5 linked regions of the Macaca fascicularis genome follow. The protein of the gene in region 5 purifies or fractionates together with the protein of the main gene of each other region. This does not show direct contact. Links are inferred from orthologs where the notes say so. Each region holds a gene or a part of one and is shown on either strand. Other genes may lie near its edges. The genes, in order: FLNC, KEAP1, AIFM1, FLNA and OTUD1.

What was found.
Region 1: the proteins of OTUD1 (region 5) and FLNC purify together in Homo sapiens (affinity purification with mass spectrometry; 3 studies listed by BioGRID and IntAct, with this or other methods). This does not show direct contact. The link is inferred for Macaca fascicularis from reciprocal best matches to the Homo sapiens genes OTUD1 and FLNC.
Region 2: the proteins of OTUD1 (region 5) and KEAP1 purify together in Homo sapiens (affinity purification with western blotting; 3 studies listed by BioGRID, with this or other methods). This does not show direct contact. The link is inferred for Macaca fascicularis from reciprocal best matches to the Homo sapiens genes OTUD1 and KEAP1.
Region 3: the proteins of OTUD1 (region 5) and AIFM1 purify together in Homo sapiens (affinity purification with mass spectrometry; 3 studies listed by BioGRID, with this or other methods). This does not show direct contact. The link is inferred for Macaca fascicularis from reciprocal best matches to the Homo sapiens genes OTUD1 and AIFM1.
Region 4: the proteins of OTUD1 (region 5) and FLNA purify together in Homo sapiens (affinity purification with mass spectrometry; 3 studies listed by BioGRID and IntAct, with this or other methods). This does not show direct contact. The link is inferred for Macaca fascicularis from reciprocal best matches to the Homo sapiens genes OTUD1 and FLNA.

Annotation. Positions count from the first base shown.
Region 1 is NC_088377.1:170,300,401-170,303,915, reverse strand, and holds part of FLNC (filamin-C), read right to left. Parts: intron 3,391-3,515; coding exon 3,264-3,390; intron 3,116-3,263; coding exon 2,979-3,115; intron 2,780-2,978; coding exon 2,586-2,779; intron 2,496-2,585; coding exon 2,382-2,495; intron 1,443-2,381; coding exon 1,299-1,442; intron 1,099-1,298; coding exon 975-1,098; intron 878-974; coding exon 717-877; intron 462-716; coding exon 371-461; intron 283-370; coding exon 113-282; intron 1-112.
Region 2 is NC_088393.1:11,048,189-11,051,798, reverse strand, and holds the end of KEAP1 (kelch-like ECH-associated protein 1), read left to right. Parts: intron 1-28; coding exon 29-234; intron 235-512; coding exon 513-689; intron 690-2,405; coding exon 2,406-2,572; 3' UTR 2,573-3,099; downstream 3,100-3,610. UniProt on the Homo sapiens protein: Substrate-specific adapter of a BCR (BTB-CUL3-RBX1) E3 ubiquitin ligase complex that regulates the response to oxidative stress by targeting NFE2L2/NRF2 for ubiquitination.
Region 3 is NC_088395.1:136,424,770-136,428,284, forward strand, and holds part of AIFM1 (apoptosis-inducing factor 1, mitochondrial), read right to left. Parts: intron 858-3,515; coding exon 715-857; intron 1-714. UniProt on the Homo sapiens protein: Functions both as NADH oxidoreductase and as regulator of apoptosis.
Region 4 is NC_088395.1:160,379,398-160,382,912, forward strand, and holds part of FLNA (filamin-A), read left to right. Parts: intron 1-22; coding exon 23-163; intron 164-270; coding exon 271-399; intron 400-586; coding exon 587-760; intron 761-854; coding exon 855-1,016; intron 1,017-1,107; coding exon 1,108-1,311; intron 1,312-1,387; coding exon 1,388-1,540; intron 1,541-1,636; coding exon 1,637-1,759; intron 1,760-1,864; coding exon 1,865-2,131; intron 2,132-2,290; coding exon 2,291-2,428; intron 2,429-2,615; coding exon 2,616-2,731; intron 2,732-3,274; coding exon 3,275-3,407; intron 3,408-3,515. UniProt on the Homo sapiens protein: Promotes orthogonal branching of actin filaments and links actin filaments to membrane glycoproteins. Anchors various transmembrane proteins to the actin cytoskeleton and serves as a scaffold for a wide range of cytoplasmic signaling proteins.
Region 5 is NC_088383.1:24,239,121-24,243,061, reverse strand, and holds the start of OTUD1 (OTU domain-containing protein 1), read right to left. Parts: upstream 2,809-3,941; 5' UTR 2,357-2,808; coding exon 914-2,356; 3' UTR 1-913. UniProt on the Homo sapiens protein: Deubiquitinating enzyme that specifically hydrolyzes 'Lys-63'-linked polyubiquitin to monoubiquitin.

The sequences.
Region 1 (3,515 bases), on a different chromosome or scaffold from region 5:
AGGAGGCAGCGAAGGCATGGAGGATCCAGAACTGGTCCCGTGGGACTGGAGGAGGGAGACCCAGAGCTCCGACAGTCCAGTCGGGCGGGGGCATGGGAGGGGCAGAGCGCACCTGCTGGACAGCGGTGTACTTGACAGTGTAGGAATAGTCATGGTTGTCTATGATCTCAAAGTCCCGCACAGCCTCGCCCTTGGCTGTCCCTGCAAACTGCACATCCAACTTGGCCTTGCCGGCTCCCTTGGTCAGCACCGTGAAGTGGGTGGGCTTCCCAACTTCCACACCTGAGGAGCCACCCAGAGATGTGGTGAGGGCCTGGTAGCCACTTAACCCCAACCTCGAGCCAGGCCCAGCCCCTGCCCAGACACTCACCTGTGCGATTCAGCCCAGGGCCCTCGGCCTTGACTTTGCTGGCATCGTGGGATGGGTCCACCTTGATGTGGAAGGGGCTGGCGGGGATCTCCTGGATGTGGAGGAGGCTCAGTCAAGGCTCTCGAGGGGAACACACCCCTGCTGTTGGGCTAGATGTGGCTCAGGACACACCCAGGGGACCCAGCATAGACAGGGGCAGCCTCCAAAAGAGCCCCCTTTGCTTCCTCTGAGGCACCCTGCCTCACACAGGTAGCGCTCCACCATGTCTGTGGAATCATCCCTCCCTGTCCCGTGACAGCATCTCCAGCTGCCTTCTAGAGCTGGGAGGTACCAGGAGCTTGGGTACCTGGTTGGCAAACAGCACCATGATGGTGTAGCGGCCCGCCCCCGGTGGCGTGTACTTGACGGTGAAGGTGTCATTGTCATTCTTGATGATGTCGAAGTCGATGTCAGCCTCTGCAGGGCCCACCACGCCGGGGGCGCACTTGATGCCAATGCTCACGTCACCTGCAGAGAGGCGGGCACCGCTGTGAGTCAGGCTCAGCCCCCCAACCCGACTCACCCCTGCCCCCCTCCCAGACTCGCCCCTTCTGGCTGGGCGCACCTTGCCCTGCCTCGCTGCAGTCCACGGTGAAGTAGGTGGGCTCGTTGGCCTTGAGGCCTGTCTTCTCCACGCCGGGGCCGTACACTTTCACCCGCTCGGGGTGGCTGCCCTCGCCCACGTTCACCTGCAGGAGGGGTCACAGCTCAGCACGGAGACCTCCCTCAAGGCTCATCCTCCTGCCCAGCGCACCCAGCCTAGCCTCAGTGGCACCAGCCCAAGCCTCAGTCCCAGCCTGAGCCCAGGGACAACAGGGACTCTAGCGAGGCGCCCACCCTCCCTCAAGGACCTCTGGTGGTGGGCACGGGGCAGGCTGGGAGGACGCACCCGGAAGGGGCTCTTGGGCACGTTTACGCCTCCCCAGGAGATGATGATGGTGTGCTTAATGGGCTTGGTGGGCACGTAGGAGCAGCGGAAGGTGCCATCGCCGTTGGGGATCACCTTGATGTCGATGGGACAGCCGTCCGCGTCCTGTGGGCATCACCCAAGCAAAGTTCATAGCTGTGGCCTCTGCAGAGCGCCCTCTGCTGGCCACAGGTGAACCCAGCGCCTCCTTTCCCACTGCCAACGCGCAGGCACTCCCACCCCCACACCAGTCACTGAGGCCACCAGAGCCCAGGGCCACATGCTCTGGTGGCCAGAGCCCACCCTTGGAGCCTGGAGGCCTGGCTCAAGGCCATCTGTATGGCTTGCTCTCCCAGCCTAGGTTTCCTCAACTCTGAAATGTGTTGGACAGGAAGAGTGTGGACTAAATTTATGTTCCTAAAACTGAATCATGAGCCGTTCAAAGAAGAATCACCCTCTTAGATTCTCAAGACTATGTTCATTAACTTCTAGGGGTCAATGGACACCAGTCTGAGAAACCTTGTCTTATTCAATGAAACAATCTTTCAATTACAAATTAGCACAAAAATGACTCTTTGGTAAAATACATTTTTAGGTTATCATCATTAAGAAAACACAAAATTTGGCCCGCCGTGGTGGCTCACGCCTGTAATCCCAGCACTCTGGGAGGCCGAGGCAGGCAGATCATAAGGTCAGGAGATCGAGACCATCCTGGTCTCTACTAAAAAACACACAAAAAATTAGCCGGGCGTGGTGGCGGGCACCTGTAATCCCAGCTACTTGGGAGGCTGAGGCAGGAGAATGGCATGAACCCAGGGGGCGGAGCTTGCAGTGAGTGTTGTTCCTGGGCAACAGAGCAAGACTCCATCTCAAAAAAAAAAAAAGAAAAGAAAACACAAAATTTAAAATTTTCCATGGTACTGATGGGCCCATGAGTATCAGTCCTGCCTGATCTTCTGTGATGTTGTCATTTCCTGCCGGGAGGTCTCTGCCTCTGGCCTGGCCCTGCCTTCCAGGGTCCCTGCCATAGGTAGTAAGGGCAGCAGAGACTGGATAATGACCTACCTGGGCATAGAGCTTCAGGTCTCCCTTGCCAGCTGCACGGGCATCAATGGTGAACTCAGCGGGCTTGTCCACGATGCAGCCTGTAGGCTCCAGGCCAGGCCCAAAGGCCTTCACCTGTGTGGAGGGAAGAAGGCTGGGTTGGGGACGGGAGGAGAACCAGCTTGCCCCACCCCGGGGGCAGGTGTGTGGAATCTGGGACCATACCTTATCTGGGAAGCAGTCAGGTGGGGCGGGCAAGATGTGGGCAATGAAGGGTGAGTCTCGGATGTCCTCGTCGTCACAGATGACGTGCACAGCGTACTCCCCAGGCTCCGTAGGCCAGTACCGCACATCGCAGGAGCCATCCCCCTTGTCATCACATTCGATCTTGGCTTGTGAGGGCCCCTCGATGGAGAAGCCTGGGGCGAGGTCAGGGAGGGTCAGAGGGTCCAGCATCAGGCAAGACCCTCCCATCCCCCAGTTCCCCTCTGGCCGCCTCATGTCCCATCTCCCTGCTCACCCCAGCACTCCCCAGCATGCTCACTGCACCCATTACCCACAGTGCCCCCTGCTGCCCTCCCCCACAGCACTCCCTCCTCCTGCCCCTCAGCCACTTACCCAGTGTCCCCACCTCGGTGCCAATGGCTTCCACCACAAAGTCAGCTGACTTGCCCACCTGGCCAGTCTCCAAACCAGGACCCCAGGCCCGGACCTTTTGCACTCCTGCCTCTGGGCTCACCTGTACCTCAAAGGGGCTGAGCAGAGAGGGAGCTGGTGTCTACTCCAGGAAGTGACCCCCGAGGTCCCCCTCCATCTCCCCTCAAACTCCCCCGCAGCCCACTGCCCTTCATCCCTCCCTGTGATGTCCTAGACAGGACAGCATGGGGGGCGCAAGGTACTTACCTGCGAGGGATGGCATAGCCGCCCCACGTGATGGTCACCACATACTTCCCAGGCACTACCGGGTAGTACTCGCACTCGAACACACCGTCCCCAGCCTCCCGCACCTTCACTGGCTCCTCTGTGCCCTCTGAGGAGAGGGAGGCAAGGTGTGGGGATAGAAGGCAGATCAATAGCCTTGAAGTCCCAGCTCCTCAATCCCCTCAAGGAGCCATGGGGACCCCGACCCAGCCTGAGGGCAGTGCTCTAGTGAGC
Region 2 (3,610 bases), on a different chromosome or scaffold from region 5:
TGTCCCCATTTTTCTTATGCCCTTGCAGGTATGAGCCAGAGCGGGATGAGTGGCACTTGGTGGCCCCAATGCTGACACGAAGGATCGGGGTGGGCGTGGCCGTCCTCAATCGTCTGCTTTATGCCGTGGGGGGCTTTGACGGGACAAACCGCCTTAATTCAGCTGAGCGTTACTACCCAGAGAGGAACGAGTGGCGAATGATCACAGCAATGAACACCATCCGAAGCGGGGCAGGTGGGTGGGGACGGTAGTGAGGGGAGCATCCAGGAACACCCCCACCATCCTGGGGTGAAACTGAGCCAGGCCTGGGAGAGACCCCCTGTTGCAACCCTCACCCTGAGATAACCACAGAAGCACTGGATTCTGATAGAGTCCAAGCTTCTCTCTCTCCATGCTTCATTTCTGAGGGTGAGAAGGGAGAGGAGAGAGGAAAGGTCTCCCTCAAGGAGGTGATGGCTGGGGCTCCCAAAGCCAGTCCTCCAGAGTCACCTTCTCTGCACGGTGCCCTTTAGGCGTCTGTGTCCTGCACAACTGCATCTATGCTGCCGGGGGCTATGATGGTCAGGACCAGCTGAACAGCGTGGAGCGTTATGACGTGGAAACAGAGACGTGGACTTTCGTAGCCCCCATGAAGCACCGGCGAAGTGCCCTGGGGATCACTGTCCACCAGGGGAGAATCTACGTCCTTGGTGAGGCCCTGGGGGTGGGGAAGAGTCCCGACTAGCCCCATCTCTTGTGGACTGTGGCTGCTTTTGCTTTTTTGCTTTCCTTTTTTTTTTTTTTCTTCTTAGAAACAGGGTCTCGCTCTGTCGCCCAGGCTGAGTGCAGTGGTGTGATCACAGCTTGCTGGAGCCTCAACCTCCTGGGCTCCAGCCATCCTCCTGCCTCAGCTTCCCAAGTAGCAGGGACCACACGCATGCACCACCACACCCGGCTAATGTTTGTTTTTTTGAGATGGAGTCTCGCAATGTTGCCCAGGCTGGGGTGCAATGGCATGATCTCAGCTCACTGCAACCTCCGCCTCCTGGAGGTGCAAGCAATTCTCCTGTCTTAGCCTCCTGAGTAGCTGGGACTATAGGTGTGTGCCACCGCACCTGGCTAATTTTTTGTATTTTAGTAGAGATGGGGTTTCACCATGTTAGCCAGGCTGGTCTCGAACTCCTGACCTCGTGATCCACCCACTTCAGCCTTCCAAAGTGCTGGGATTATAGGCGTGAGCCACCGCGCTGGGGCTTTTTCTTTTTTTGAGACAGGAGTCTCGCTCTGTTGCCAGGCTGGAGTGCAATGGCGCGATCTCAGCTCACTGCAACCTCCGCCTCCTGGTTTCAAGCGATTCTCCCCCCTCAGCCTCCCATGTAGCTGATATTACAGGTGCCCACCACTATGCCCTGCTAATTTTTATATTTTAGTAGAGATGGGGTTTCACCATGCTGGTCAGGCTGGTCTTGAACTCCTGACCTCAGGTGATCTGCCCACATCAGCCTCCCAAAGTGCTGGGATTACAGGCGTGAGCCACCACACTCGGCTTAATGTTATTTATGTATTTATTTATTTTTGAAACGGAGTCTGGCTCTGTCGCTCAGGCTGGAGTGCAGTGGCGCACTCTCGGCTCACTGCAAGCTCTACCTCCCAGGTTCATGCCATTCTCCTGGCTCAGCCTCCCGAGTAGCTGGGATTATAGGCACCTGCCACCACGCCCGGCTAATTTTTATTTTTTTTTGTATTTTTAGTAGAGATGGGGTTTCACCATGTTAGCCAGGATGGTCTCAATCTCCTGACCTTGTGATCTGCCCACCTCGGCCTCCCAAAGTGCTGGGATTACAGGCGTGAGCCACAGCACCCGGCTGTTTTTATTTATTTTTATTTTATTTTTTTGAGACAGAGTTTTGCTTGTGTTGCCCAGGCTGGAATGCAATGGCGTGATCTCGGCTCACTGCAACCTCTGCCTTCCAGGTTCCAGTGATTCTCCTGTCTCAGCCTCCCTAGTAGCTGGAACTACAGGCACGCACCACCACGCCTGGCTAAATTTTTATGTTTTTTTTGGTAGAGATGGGATTTCACCATGTTGCCCAGGCTGGTCTCAAATTCCTGGACTCAAGTGATCCACCCACCTCAGTCTCCCAAAGTGCTAGATTTACAGGCTAAGCTACCGCGCCTGGCCTTTTTTTTTTTTTTTTTTTTTTCTTCAGTAAGAGACTAGAGTTTTGCTATGTTGCCCAGGCTGTCCTCGAACTCCTGGCCTCAAGCGATCCTCCCGCCTCAGCCCTGCAAAGTGCTAGGATTATAGGCGTGAGCCACTGCGCCCGGCCTGCTTTTGCATCTCACAGCTGCTTCTCCCTCTTTCTGTCCCCTGCTCTTGGATGTGGTGTGACAGGTGGTGACCGTCCCTTCTGTTCTTCCTGCAGGAGGCTATGATGGTCACACGTTCCTGGACAGTGTGGAGTGTTACGACCCAGATACAGACACCTGGAGCGAGGTGACCCGAATGACATCGGGCCGGAGCGGAGTGGGCGTGGCTGTCACCATGGAGCCCTGCCGGAAGCAGATCGACCAGCAGAACTGTACCTGTTGAGGCACTTTTGTTTCTTGGGCGAAAATACAGTCCAATGGGGAGTATCATTGTTTTTGTACAAAAACCAGGATTAAAAGAAAAAAGACAGCACTGCAAATAACCCATCTTCCGGGAAGGGAGGCCGCGATGCCTCAGTGTTAAAATGACATCTCAAAAAGAAGTCCAAAGCGGGAATCATGTGCCTCTCAGCGGAGCCCCAGGAGTGTCCAAGACAGCCTGGCTGGGAAAGGGGGTGTGGAAAGAGCAGGCTTCCAGGAGAGAGGCCCCCAAACCCTCTGGCCCTGGGTCCCACCCACCCAGCCAGCCACGCCGGCAGCCCTCACCTTGTGATTTGTTCTTGGATACCTGGGAGGGGGCCAATGGGGGCCTCAGGCGGAGGCCCCCTCTGGAAATGTGGTTCCCAGGGATGGGCCTGTACATAGAAGCCACCGGATGGCACTTCCCCACCGGATGGACAGTTATTTTGTTGATAAGTAACCCTGTAATTTTCCAAGGAAAATAAAGAACAGACTAACTAGTGTCTTTCACCCTGGCTCTGGGCTGGAGGTCTGAAACCCGGGGCCAGAAAGGGCTCTTCTCCTGAAACACATTCCTCTTTGACTTAGGGCTGGTATTTGAAACCGTTTTGTAATCTTTGCCCATCGCATTTTGATATGTAGGGCATCTTTCTCCCCATAGGCAAGCCACACAGCTGTCCTTCAGTTTCAGCTGCCTTGGAAGACAAGGAGCTAATTCCTAGTCACATCTCCCAGGGCTCCCCAAGCTCATTTTTTTTTTTTTTCCTTTTATTTTGAGACAGAGTTTTGCTCGTGTTGCGCAGGCTGGAGTGCAATAGCGTGATCTCAGCTCACAGCAACCTCTGCCTCCTGGGTTCAAGTGATTCTCCTGCCTCAACCTCCCGAGTAGCTGGGATTACAGGCGTGTGCCACCACATCTGGCTAATTTTGTTTTTGTTTTTTTTTTTTTTTTTTTTTTTTTTTTTTTTTTGAGACGGAGCCTTGCTCTGTCGCCCAGGCTGGAGTGCAGTGGCCGGATCTC
Region 3 (3,515 bases), on a different chromosome or scaffold from region 5:
CAGGATCCAACTTTAGACTGATCAGCTTAGTCACAGTAAACCCTGCCAAGTTAGGGAAAAAACACCCACAGAATAATTCCTCTGTGACCTGCTAAGCTGATCGGAGTTCATTTAAGGAGATATAATGGTGCTAATACTACGTAGCAATTAAACACCATATTTCTCACCTCAAACAAACTCCATTCTAAAATCAGTGATACTAGCCCTGCTTCTGTAATTTAGTCTTTGGGTGAGATTCAGGGATAGCTTTCCTTTTAGGAATACTTAATATTTTTTATTGAAGGCTTTTTGTTTTTTAATGTGAACCTCAAGCTGAGGAAAAATAAAATGTCTGACAAATAGGTCAAAATCAAATATTGTGCTAAGGAGCTGCAATGGATTTTGACTTTATTCACAGGTTAGTGTGTGACATCCAAGAAAACAGGTACAATTTTGTGGGTTACTTGAATCTAGGAAAACACAGTGGCTTTCAAGTAAAGAGGAAAAAGACAAGTGAAAAGAGCAGAAATCAATCAACATGAGATTAAATTTCAGTCATTCCCGAATTGGCTCCCATAAGATATTAGGCAGCAGGCACTTAAAAGAAAGCTTTTTGAAATTTTTTCCAAAAGGAGAAAGGGGAATTAGTTGCAAAAGTTTTAAAGCAGAGTACTATCGAGTCTATTAATGGGAGCTGTTTGGCAGCTTCTTTACACACGCTGCTTTTCTACTTACATAGACACCAGCTCCTACTGTTGATAAGCCCACAATAAGGACTAACACAGAATTATCGATTTTGCCCCCTGATGCACCAGAGCTAGCCATTTGTCTTGTCATCTGGAGTTCTAGAGGAACATGCCATCGCTGGAACAAGTTGCCTAAGAAACATAATTTATTAAGACACACACATACAAAAATAAAATAGTTAATACATATTTATGATTAAACGTCAGTGCACTGTACAAGACTTACTGCCCACAGATATTCACCATTAAATGATCAAGAAAAACATCATAAAAACTGCATACATAAATACTACAGACAGCTGAATGAACACTCTTAAGTTGCTGAAGTTTTTAAGAGTAAAATTTAATGCTGCCCAGTGAGGAAATCTTCAGCTTCCAGAAAAGATCATGAAAAACATGAATAGTTCATCAGATACCTCTCCCTTCATGTCTTTCCCATAAATGAAGTAAACACAGAAAGATGACTGAATAGGTAGATATACAAAGTTAACCATGGGCTACCTGGGACATTATAATAACCATTTAAGGAGTAATCTAAATGGCTCCAATCTTGCACAAAATAAAACGCAACACACTCTAACCAGGACACAGTTCAATCTTGCATGAAAGGTAATATGTCCTGGAATACAGAAATGTTAAAGCTCAGAAGAAAACCAGAAAAATAAAATTTTAAATGAGTTTCTCTCCCCCAAAGAACTAAAAAATTTTGGACTATGAAATATTTTTTATAATGACAAAATTTAAAGTGTCCAGCAACTCCTTGGCTCTTACTCCTCCAAAATAATACAAAGGTTATTTTGATGTAAAACTATGCAGAGCTATGTAATGATGTGATGATCATAACAACACCCGTACATAGAAATATGTGAGTTCTGTAGATTTCTTTTTCTAGGGAGATGCTGACATTTTCAGATAAAGGAAGGTCTCAGTGTACCTTCTCTGTGATTATTCCTCGTGTTTGTTGACTATCAACCTAGAGCAGCAATTTTTTTCTGCAAAGAACCAGATGGTAAATATTTTCAGCTTTCTGGGCCATTTGGTGTCTGCTGCAACTACTCAATTCCGCTGATGCTGCATAAAAGCAGCCAAAGACAATACATAAATGAATGAATGTGGCCATGTTCCAATAAAACTTTATGGACACTGAAGTTTATATTTTATATAATTTTCATGTGTCACGAAATTGTCTTTAATTTTTTTCAGCCATTTAGAAAATGTAGGCCAGGGGCTCATGCCTGTAATCGCAGCACTTTGGGAGGCCTAGGCGGGCAGATCACAAGGTCAAGAGATCAAGACCAACCTGGCCAACATGGTGAAACCCCTTTAAAAATTAGCTGGGCAGGTGTAGTCCCAGCTACTCGGGAGGCTGAGGCAGAAGAATGGCGTGAACCCGGGAGGCGGAGCTTGCAGTGAGCCGAGATCATGCCACTGCACTCCAGCCTGGCGACAGAGTGAGACTTCGTCTCAAAAAAAAAAAAAAAAGAAAAGAAAAAAGAAAAAAGGTCAGGCGCGGTGGCTCACACCTGTAATCCCAGCACTTTGGAAGGCCGAGGCAGGCGAATAACCTGAGGTCGGGAGTTAGAGACCAGCCTGACTAACATGGAGAAACCCTGCTTATACTAAAAACAGGCCACTAGTGGTGCATGCCTGTAATCCCAGCGACTCGGGAGGCTGAGGCAAGAGAATCGCTTGAACCCAGGAGGCAGAGGTTGCGGTGAGCCGAGATTGCGCCATTGTACTCCAGCCTGGGCAACAAGAGCGAAACTCTGTCTCAAAGAAAGAAAAAGAAAAAAGGAAAAAAAAATAAAAAAAAGCAAAACCCGCTCATGGCTCCTGGGGCACACAAAAGCAGGTGACTGACTGGCTTTGGCCTGTGGCTGTAGTTGGCAGACCCCAATCTAGAGCAGTGGTTCTCAAACTTGAGAGTGTATCCGAATGCCCTGAAGGGTTTATAAAACAAAGCCGGCCAGGCCCCAGGTCCAGAGGTTCTGATTCAATAGATCTGGGATGGGGCTCAATAATGTGCATTTCTAACAAGTTCCCAGGGGATGCTGCTGTTGCTGCTGTTGCTGTTAGGATGGGGACCACACATTGAGAAACATCCATCTAGAGCAGGTACATCCTATCTTTTGGCTTCCCCGGGTCACATTGGAGGAAGAACTGTCCTGGGCCACATAAAAAATATACTAACACTAACCATAGCTGATGAGCTAAAAAAAAAAAAAAAAAAAAAAAAAATCGCAAAAATATCTCATAATGTTTTAAAAAAGTTTACAAATTTGTGTTGGGCTGCAGGTTGGACAAGCTTAGCCTAGAGGCTGACACATATGTTCCTGTCCTGTCTAGGCTTTAACAGACAAACAGAATGGACACTGGTAGTAGCATCCCATGTATACTTGCAGAGATTAGAGAAGGAATTTCCCCCTTGCTTTCATAATGTTAGGCCACAGACGGGTAAAACAAGCCCAGTGTGGATCTGTGGTCTCTCATCTGAAATCCTGGGGACCATGTGTATTTTGGAACTTTGAATTATCTGGTCTTAAGCATATGGGGCATATACCACATAGTGACAGCTAGCAAGGTAAAGGGCAGCAACTCATAGTCAAACATATTAATATGACCAATCATGCTAAGTGATATTTTAAAAAGATTATAAAGTAGCCTCTCTCCAGTTCAGGTCAGGTTTTACTGGCAAATGAGAAATGAAAACTTGATAGTCTTAAATTTTGGTCATTCTAAAATTTCAATTTCAATATCTGAATTACAGATAAGAGACTTTAGATCTATACT
Region 4 (3,515 bases), on a different chromosome or scaffold from region 5:
ACCTCAGCCCCCTGCCCCACAGGGGAGGTTCGGATGCCCTCAGGCAAGGTGGCACAGCCTGCCATCACTGACAACAAAGATGGCACCGTGACCGTACGGTATGCACCCAGTGAGGCTGGCCTGCACGAGATGGACATCCGCTATGACAACATGCACATCCCAGGTGGGCCTGCCCTGCCTCTGCCCAATCCACTGCCACCACCTCACAGAGAGATGGGACTGGGGGACACATGAGGCTGCCATTCCACAAGGCCCTTCTTCCTGCCTCAGGAAGCCCCTTGCAGTTCTATGTGGATTATGTCAACTGCGGCCATGTCACTGCCTATGGACCTGGCCTCACCCACGGAGTAGTGAACAAGCCTGCCACTTTCACCGTCAACACCAAGGATGCAGGAGAGGGTGAGCAATAGCTCCGGTCTTGACCTGCTCTGTGCCCGGGATGCCCTCACCGGGCTAAGGGCTGGACTCAGGAGATACTCCTGAATGGGGCTCCCTGCCCTGCTGCCCTGGCCATTGGGGCTCCTCAGTGTAGGCCAACTGGAGTGTCCCCAGCATAGTTCCCATGCTCACCCACGGCTCTCTCCAGGGGGCCTGTCTCTGGCCATCGAGGGCCCGTCCAAAGCAGAAATCAGCTGCACTGACAACCAGGATGGGACATGCAGCGTCTCCTACCTGCCTGTGTTGCCGGGTGACTACAGCATCCTAGTCAAGTACAATGAACAGCACATCCCAGGCAGCCCCTTCACGGCCCGGGTCACAGGTGGGTGGCACTGGGAGCAGTGACAAATGGGTGGCAGGATGGGCATGGTCTCCCATGGCTGGACACACAGTGATGGCTGGCCTGCCTCCACCAGGTGACGACTCCATGCGTATGTCCCACCTAAAGGTGGGCTCTGCTGCCGACATCCCCATCAACATCTCAGAGACGGATCTCAGCCTGCTGACGGCCACTGTGGTCCCGCCCTCAGGCCGGGAGGAGCCCTGTTTGCTGAAGCGGCTGCGTAATGGTCACGTGGGTAAGTGGCCGAAGAGTCCAGGGGTTTCAGAAAGGCAGCAGTCTGTGGGAACCCACGGCTTCCCTGACTGACAGCCCTGCCCTGTGTCCAGGGATTTCATTCGTGCCCAAGGAGACAGGGGAGCACCTGGTGCATGTGAAGAAAAACGGCCAGCACGTGGCCAGCAGCCCCATCCCGGTGGTGATCAGCCAGTCGGAAATCGGGGATGCCAGTCGCGTTCGGGTCTCTGGCCAGGGCCTTCACGAAGGCCACACCTTTGAGCCTGCGGAGTTTATCATTGATACCCGAGATGCAGGTAGGCAGTGGCTGCCCACCAGCTGGGGTGGGAACACTCTGCATAGCACCGAAGCTCAGGGGTATCCATTCCCCAGGCTATGGTGGGCTCAGCCTGTCCATTGAGGGCCCCAGCAAGGTGGACATCAACACAGAGGACCTGGAGGACGGGACGTGCAGGGTCACCTACTGCCCCACAGAGCCTGGCAACTACATCATCAACATCAAGTTTGCCGACCAGCACGTGCCTGGTGAGTGCAGCAGTGCCTCGGCAGCCCCCGTCACTACACCAGGGCCCACATGCGGTATGTGACCGGAGGGGCGTGGGCCGTGCTTTCTTCCTGCAGGCAGCCCCTTCTCTGTGAAAGTGACAGGCGAGGGCCGGGTGAAAGAGAGCATCACCCGCAGGCGTCGGGCTCCTTCAGTGGCCAACGTTGGCAGTCATTGTGATCTCAGCCTAAAGATCCCTGGTAGGGGCTGTGGGGAGCCTGGGGAGGGGTCCTGGGGCTCAAGCAGCCCCAAGAGGAGGGGTGGAGCCCAGGGCTGCTGCTCACTAGCCCATCCCCACCCTGCAGAAATTAGCATCCAGGATATGACAGCCCAGGTGACCAGCCCATCGGGCAAGAGCCATGAGGCCGAGATCGTGGAAGGGGAGAACCACACCTACTGTATCCGCTTTGTTCCTGCTGAGATGGGCACACACACAGTCAGCGTCAAGTACAAGGGCCAGCACGTGCCTGGGAGCCCCTTCCAGTTCACCGTGGGGCCCCTAGGGGAAGGGGGAGCCCACAAGGTCCGAGCTGGGGGCCCTGGCCTGGAGAGGGCTGAAGCTGGAGTGCCAGGTAGGCCTGCTCACACGCTGAGCGCTCGCTCTCCTGCGTTGGCCGGGGTGGGGTTGGGGGTGGAGGAAGGAGCTGGCAGACATGTCTACCTTGGCTATGCCTGGAGGGGGCCAAGGCTGGTGGAGCAGCCTTCAGTGAGGACACACTGTTCTCCCACAGCCGAATTCAGTATCTGGACCCGGGAAGCTGGTGCCGGAGGCCTGGCCATTGCTGTCGAGGGCCCCAGCAAGGCTGAGATCTCTTTCGAGGACCGCAAGGACGGCTCCTGTGGTGTGGCTTATGTGGTCCAGGAGCCAGGTACTGGGAACCCGGCTGGGGTTGGAGGAGGTGGGGCCTGAGTGTGGGTATTGGACCCAGGGATTGCACAAATGGCTCTGCGTGGCACTCACTCTTCACTTTCAGGTCCCAGGGCCACCCAGGCTGTTCGTGGGAGGCGGGAGGCCCAAAGGCTGATGAACCGGTCTTACGCTCTTTCCCTGCCCAGGTGACTACGAAGTCTCAGTCAAGTTCAACGAGGAACACATTCCCGACAGCCCCTTCGTGGTGCCTGTGGCTTCTCCGTCTGGCGATGCCCGCCGCCTCACTGTTTCTAGCCTTCAGGTGAGGCACTGAGAGAAACCGCCCACCTGCGGCTCCTGGGCCCGGACAGACCAGAGCTACCGCAGAGAGCAGGCCTCGGCCCTGTGTCCAGTGACCCCCTGGCCCAGCTCTGGGTTCCAGGCCTCTGCTCTGGCCGGGTGCAGCCCACGCTTGGGGTCGGCAGGAAATATCCTGCCCACCACGTGGAGTTTTTCTCGTGTCTCAGGTCTAAAGGCTTTGAACAGAAGCCTGTGCCCCTTGAGCACCAGGGCTGTGGTTTAAAGAGGGACAGCCTGCCAAGGCTGGGTGCTGCCCACAGGGTGGGGCCGCCCTCCCTTCCTGCCACCTGGGTGTGTGCGATGGCAGAGTGTGGGGGCAGGCGTGGGGATGTGTGCCTGTGGCTTCCTGCCCCTTGCAAATCAGTGGCTCTCCCTCTTTAAACCAAGTTGGACGCCAGATGGGTAAGTGCAACCCGCGGGCCTCCTGCTCCTGGGGCCTTTCCTTTCTCCCTTGCCCTTGCCCTGGCCCAAGCCCCCCATCTAACCATGTCTGCTGTGCTTCCAGGAGTCAGGGCTAAAGGTCAACCAGCCAGCCTCTTTTGCAGTCAGCCTGAATGGGGCCAAGGGGGCGATCGATGCCAAGGTGCACAGCCCCTCAGGAGCCCTGGAGGAGTGCTATGTCACAGAAATTGACCAAGGTGAGGCCCTGTCCCCGCCCGGCCGCCCTGCCCTGCTGGTTGGAAGCAGGCTGAGAGTACAAAAGGAAGGTACCGCTTCTGTAAGCAGCCAAGACGGGGCCCCATCTC
Region 5 (3,941 bases):
CAAGGGTGGCTCCAGACATTTATGCCATTAGTTTATAAATCTCTTAGTTGGATCCAAGAAGTTAAAGCAGGAGGCTTATCTTGTCACAGAGTTTTATACCATGTTAACATTCTCTTTATAACAAAATAACAAATGTCAATAAAAACAATTGAGAGCACCAGACGATCTACTCTACATATCAACCAGGGTACAGAATAACCATTCTGCCATCAGCAAATATCAGACTTTCATTCAAGTAAGACCTGGTACTATCCCTTAAAACAGGAAAAAAAAGAAAAAAAACACCTTCCCACAACCTTCCATTAGGTAATTTTCTTTAAAAGATTCACCATTTCTAGAAAAATAATGATTTCCAAAACAACAGCTCTGTTTCATCAAAATGGAATGGGCCAAACATCTGGTAACAAGAATGTTTCAATATCCATTTGAAATAATTATCTAAGAATTGTGAAATTCAAATTTCAACAACATAAAATACCAAATCACAAACTCTGTTCAAAATAATACATTTCATATAAAGCACTTCTCTGGATTTATGCCTGAACACATCATAGATGAAGGTACACCAGTTTTTAAAAATGTTGTGCAAAAATACATTTTTATAGAAAATAGACTACCAGGAATGAACAAATTTACACTGTGAGAAATCAGCTTGCAAATTAAGTAGTGCTCACTTTATACAGCAAATTATAAATAGCAATAAAATCACCCAAAGCTATCATGAAACATTATTTAGGTGGCCCAGCAACCTTCAGCTCTGAGAAAACATTCAAAAAGATGATTAAGGCATTACACCTACAATAAAATCTACTAGCAAGTTTGAAAGTGCTATTACCCTGATTAGAGTTCATGTGATTCTCCAAACACAAGTTATGTATGCAATTATTCCCAGGGTGTAAGGTTTTGAGACATTTCAAGAGCATGCATTTTGTTCAATATACATTTTGGATAGGGATATGGCCATAGATTTGGCAAGTTCTTCGTCGCGTTTCCTTTGCACTTGAGTTTGTTTGCACCAGTTGTCGTACTCTGGGTTAGGATAGGAGTGATCAAATACAGCATCATAGTGTCCGTTACTGAGCCAACTGAGCCAAATACTAGGCCTCAGGGAATCCTCTGGGCCCAAATAATGAATCATAGTAGACACCGTGGGGCTCTCCAGCCTCCCTCCAGTAGTTAAGTGGATATTCACATTCAGCATCTGCCCCATGGCCAGCAATTCCGGGTACCCAGCCCATGCCCCGTCTTGGGCAGCAGCGATGATAAACTCCCCCACGTCGCCCTCAATCAGGGGGCTGAAGTGGTCGAGATGGTCGGCGATATAGTGCACCGTCTGCTCCCTCAGCTCCCGGTGCAGGCTCTGGTCCCCATACACCGTCTTGCTGACAGCTCGGTAGAGGCAGTTGCCGTCGGGAATGATGTGGAATCGGTACTTATTCCTCTGCCGCAAGTACTTGTCCTGCTTCTCCACCTCGGCCAGGTACAGGGCCAGCTTCTCGTCTCTGGGATCTGACCCGGAGACGATCACCGGCTCCGCCGCGCTGCTCGGGGCGGTCTCGATGCTCCGGGCTGGGGGTGCCTCGGCCTCTGGGTCGGGCCTCCGCGCCGCGTCCCCACCGGGAGCGTCGCAGCGGTCGCCGCCCCTCTCCCAGCCCCTAGGGCCCCTTTCCACCAAATGCTCTTCGCCCCACGGACCGGGGTCGGGGCTCCCCGGGGTCGGCGCGGGGCCTCGGTGCTTGGCGGCGGCCAAGGCCTGGCGGTGCTCGCTCAGTCGGAAGTTCCGATCGGGCCCCTCCCGTGTCGCGTCCAAGCCCGCGGACTCGGGGCAGTCGGGCCGCAGCAGCTCCTCCAGGAGCCAGGCCGAGGAGCCCCGCCGCGGCGGCACCGGGGCTGCGGGCGCTGGGGCCAGCAGGAGGCAGCGGCCGCGCGGGCCAGCGGCGGAGCCCGCGGTGCCGGGAGCGGGCTCGGGCCCGTGCAGCAGGAGCCTGTCGGCGCCCAGGGCCCGCACGGTGATCTGCGCGGTGGACGTGTAGTGCGGCGGCAGCGGCGGCTTGCAGGACGCGCCAGGCGGGCCGGCGGCGGCAGAGGCGGGCGCGGCGGCCCCGGACACCACCTCGAAGCAGGAGGAGAAGGCGGGCATCTTGGCGGCGGGGACAGCGGCGGCTTCACGGTGCTCGGCGGCCGCGGCGGGCTGGCACTCACCGGTCTCGGGCTCGGGCGCGGCGCCGGCGGCTCCCGGGGGCTGCAGCGAGACCTTGAAGGTGGGGGCGGCGGCGGCGGGTGGCGCGGGGGCGGCGGCCGTGGGACCCGGTGACCCGGAGGGGTAGTGGGTGCAGACGCTGCTGTAGAGCTGCATGTCCCTGCCCGCCGCTCTGCCCCTTATAGGCGCGGCGAGCCCCGGAGCGGGGGACACACCCTCCGGGCCCGGGGGAGGGGGCCGGCGGAGCGCGGTGACCCAACGGCCCCAGAATAGAGATGAGCGCAAGGCCGCTGGCCGCCGCGCGTCAGCAGCCGCGAATAGCGCCCGGGTCCCGGCCAAATTCCTGCTGCGCCACAGCGTGGGGGGGGCGGGGACGGGACGCGAGCTCGACTCCTGCCGGTGCGCTCAGCCCGCAGACCCGGGGCGTCGCGCCCGCTGCAGCTGCTCCGGCCTGCGGCGGCCGCTGGGGACTCACGGAGGAAGCCGCCCGCCTCGTTGGAGCGCGTCCTGCCGGCGAGGAGGAGCGCGGTGCGCGCGGAGGCCCGGGAGGCGGGGCCGCGGTTGTTTACCTCAGGCCTCGCGGCCGCGTCACGTGGACTCGCTGGAATGCGCGGCTTGTCTCGGCGCCCGATTCAGCCGCGTCGGCTCGCCCCGCCCACTCCGGCCCGCGCCCCGCCCCCTGCTCCGCTCCGCCGACGTCACGGGCGTGGCCCTCGTCGCGCGCGCGGGCGGGGCGAGGCCGGGGGCTCGGAGGCCTGAGCAGTCCGGGAATTCCTGGCTGGGCCTCCCGCCCACGTGACTCCCGCAGACCGCTTCCCCGACTTGGGCACGGGTTTCTGCGCTGCACCACTCTCCGCAGCGGCTGCAGTGGGTGCTGCGGGATGGGCGCTTCTTGGAGCGAGTTAGCATGCTCGGAAAGCTTGCTTGGCAGGAAAGCTTCTGGCATGGGTGTGGAGAACAGAATGCTGTTTGGCCTCTGCATGGTCATGGGCTACCATCCCTCCTTGCATCCACTACTGCCTCTTTTATCTTTTTAGAGATGAGGGTCTCACCTATCTCCAAAGCTGGAGTGTAGTGGCGCAGTCCATAGCTCACTGAAGCTTTGACCTCCCGGACTCAAGCGATCCGCCCACCTCAACCCAGGTGTGCACCACCGCCCCCGGCTAATTTTTTTTTTTTTTTTTAAGGCGAGGGTCTCACTATTACAGTTGCCCAGTCTGGTATCGAACTACTGGCCTCAAGTTGTTTCCCGCCTTGACCTCCCAAAGTGTTGGGATTACAGGCCCTAGCCACCAATCCTGGCACCACGAGTCTTTTCCTCTTTTTTTTTTTTTTTCTTTTCCTTTTTAAGGCAAGGTCTTGCTCTGCCTTCCAGGCTGACTGCAGTGGCGCCATCATGCCCCACTGCGACCTCCACCTCCGAGGTCCAAGCGATCCCCCTTCCTCAGCCTTGCCTTGGGCAGGGATTACAGGTGCCCAGCTAGTTTTACCACTGCGTCTTTTCTATGCACTTCCTTGGACCCACCTGTTAAGGGTGAGTCCTCTAGTGGATTCTCCTGCCCTGCGAAGACAAAACCAACTTTTCTGCACCTCTGACCTATGTCACTTGGCAAATACCTGCTTGGGCGAAAGCAAGGAAGCCTTTTAGCCCTTTATAAACAGCCTTTCTCAGAATACCAAATGCAGTATCACCTAGGGCCTTTTGAAAATAGATGCGATTGCTAGCCAGAGGTCAAAAGCG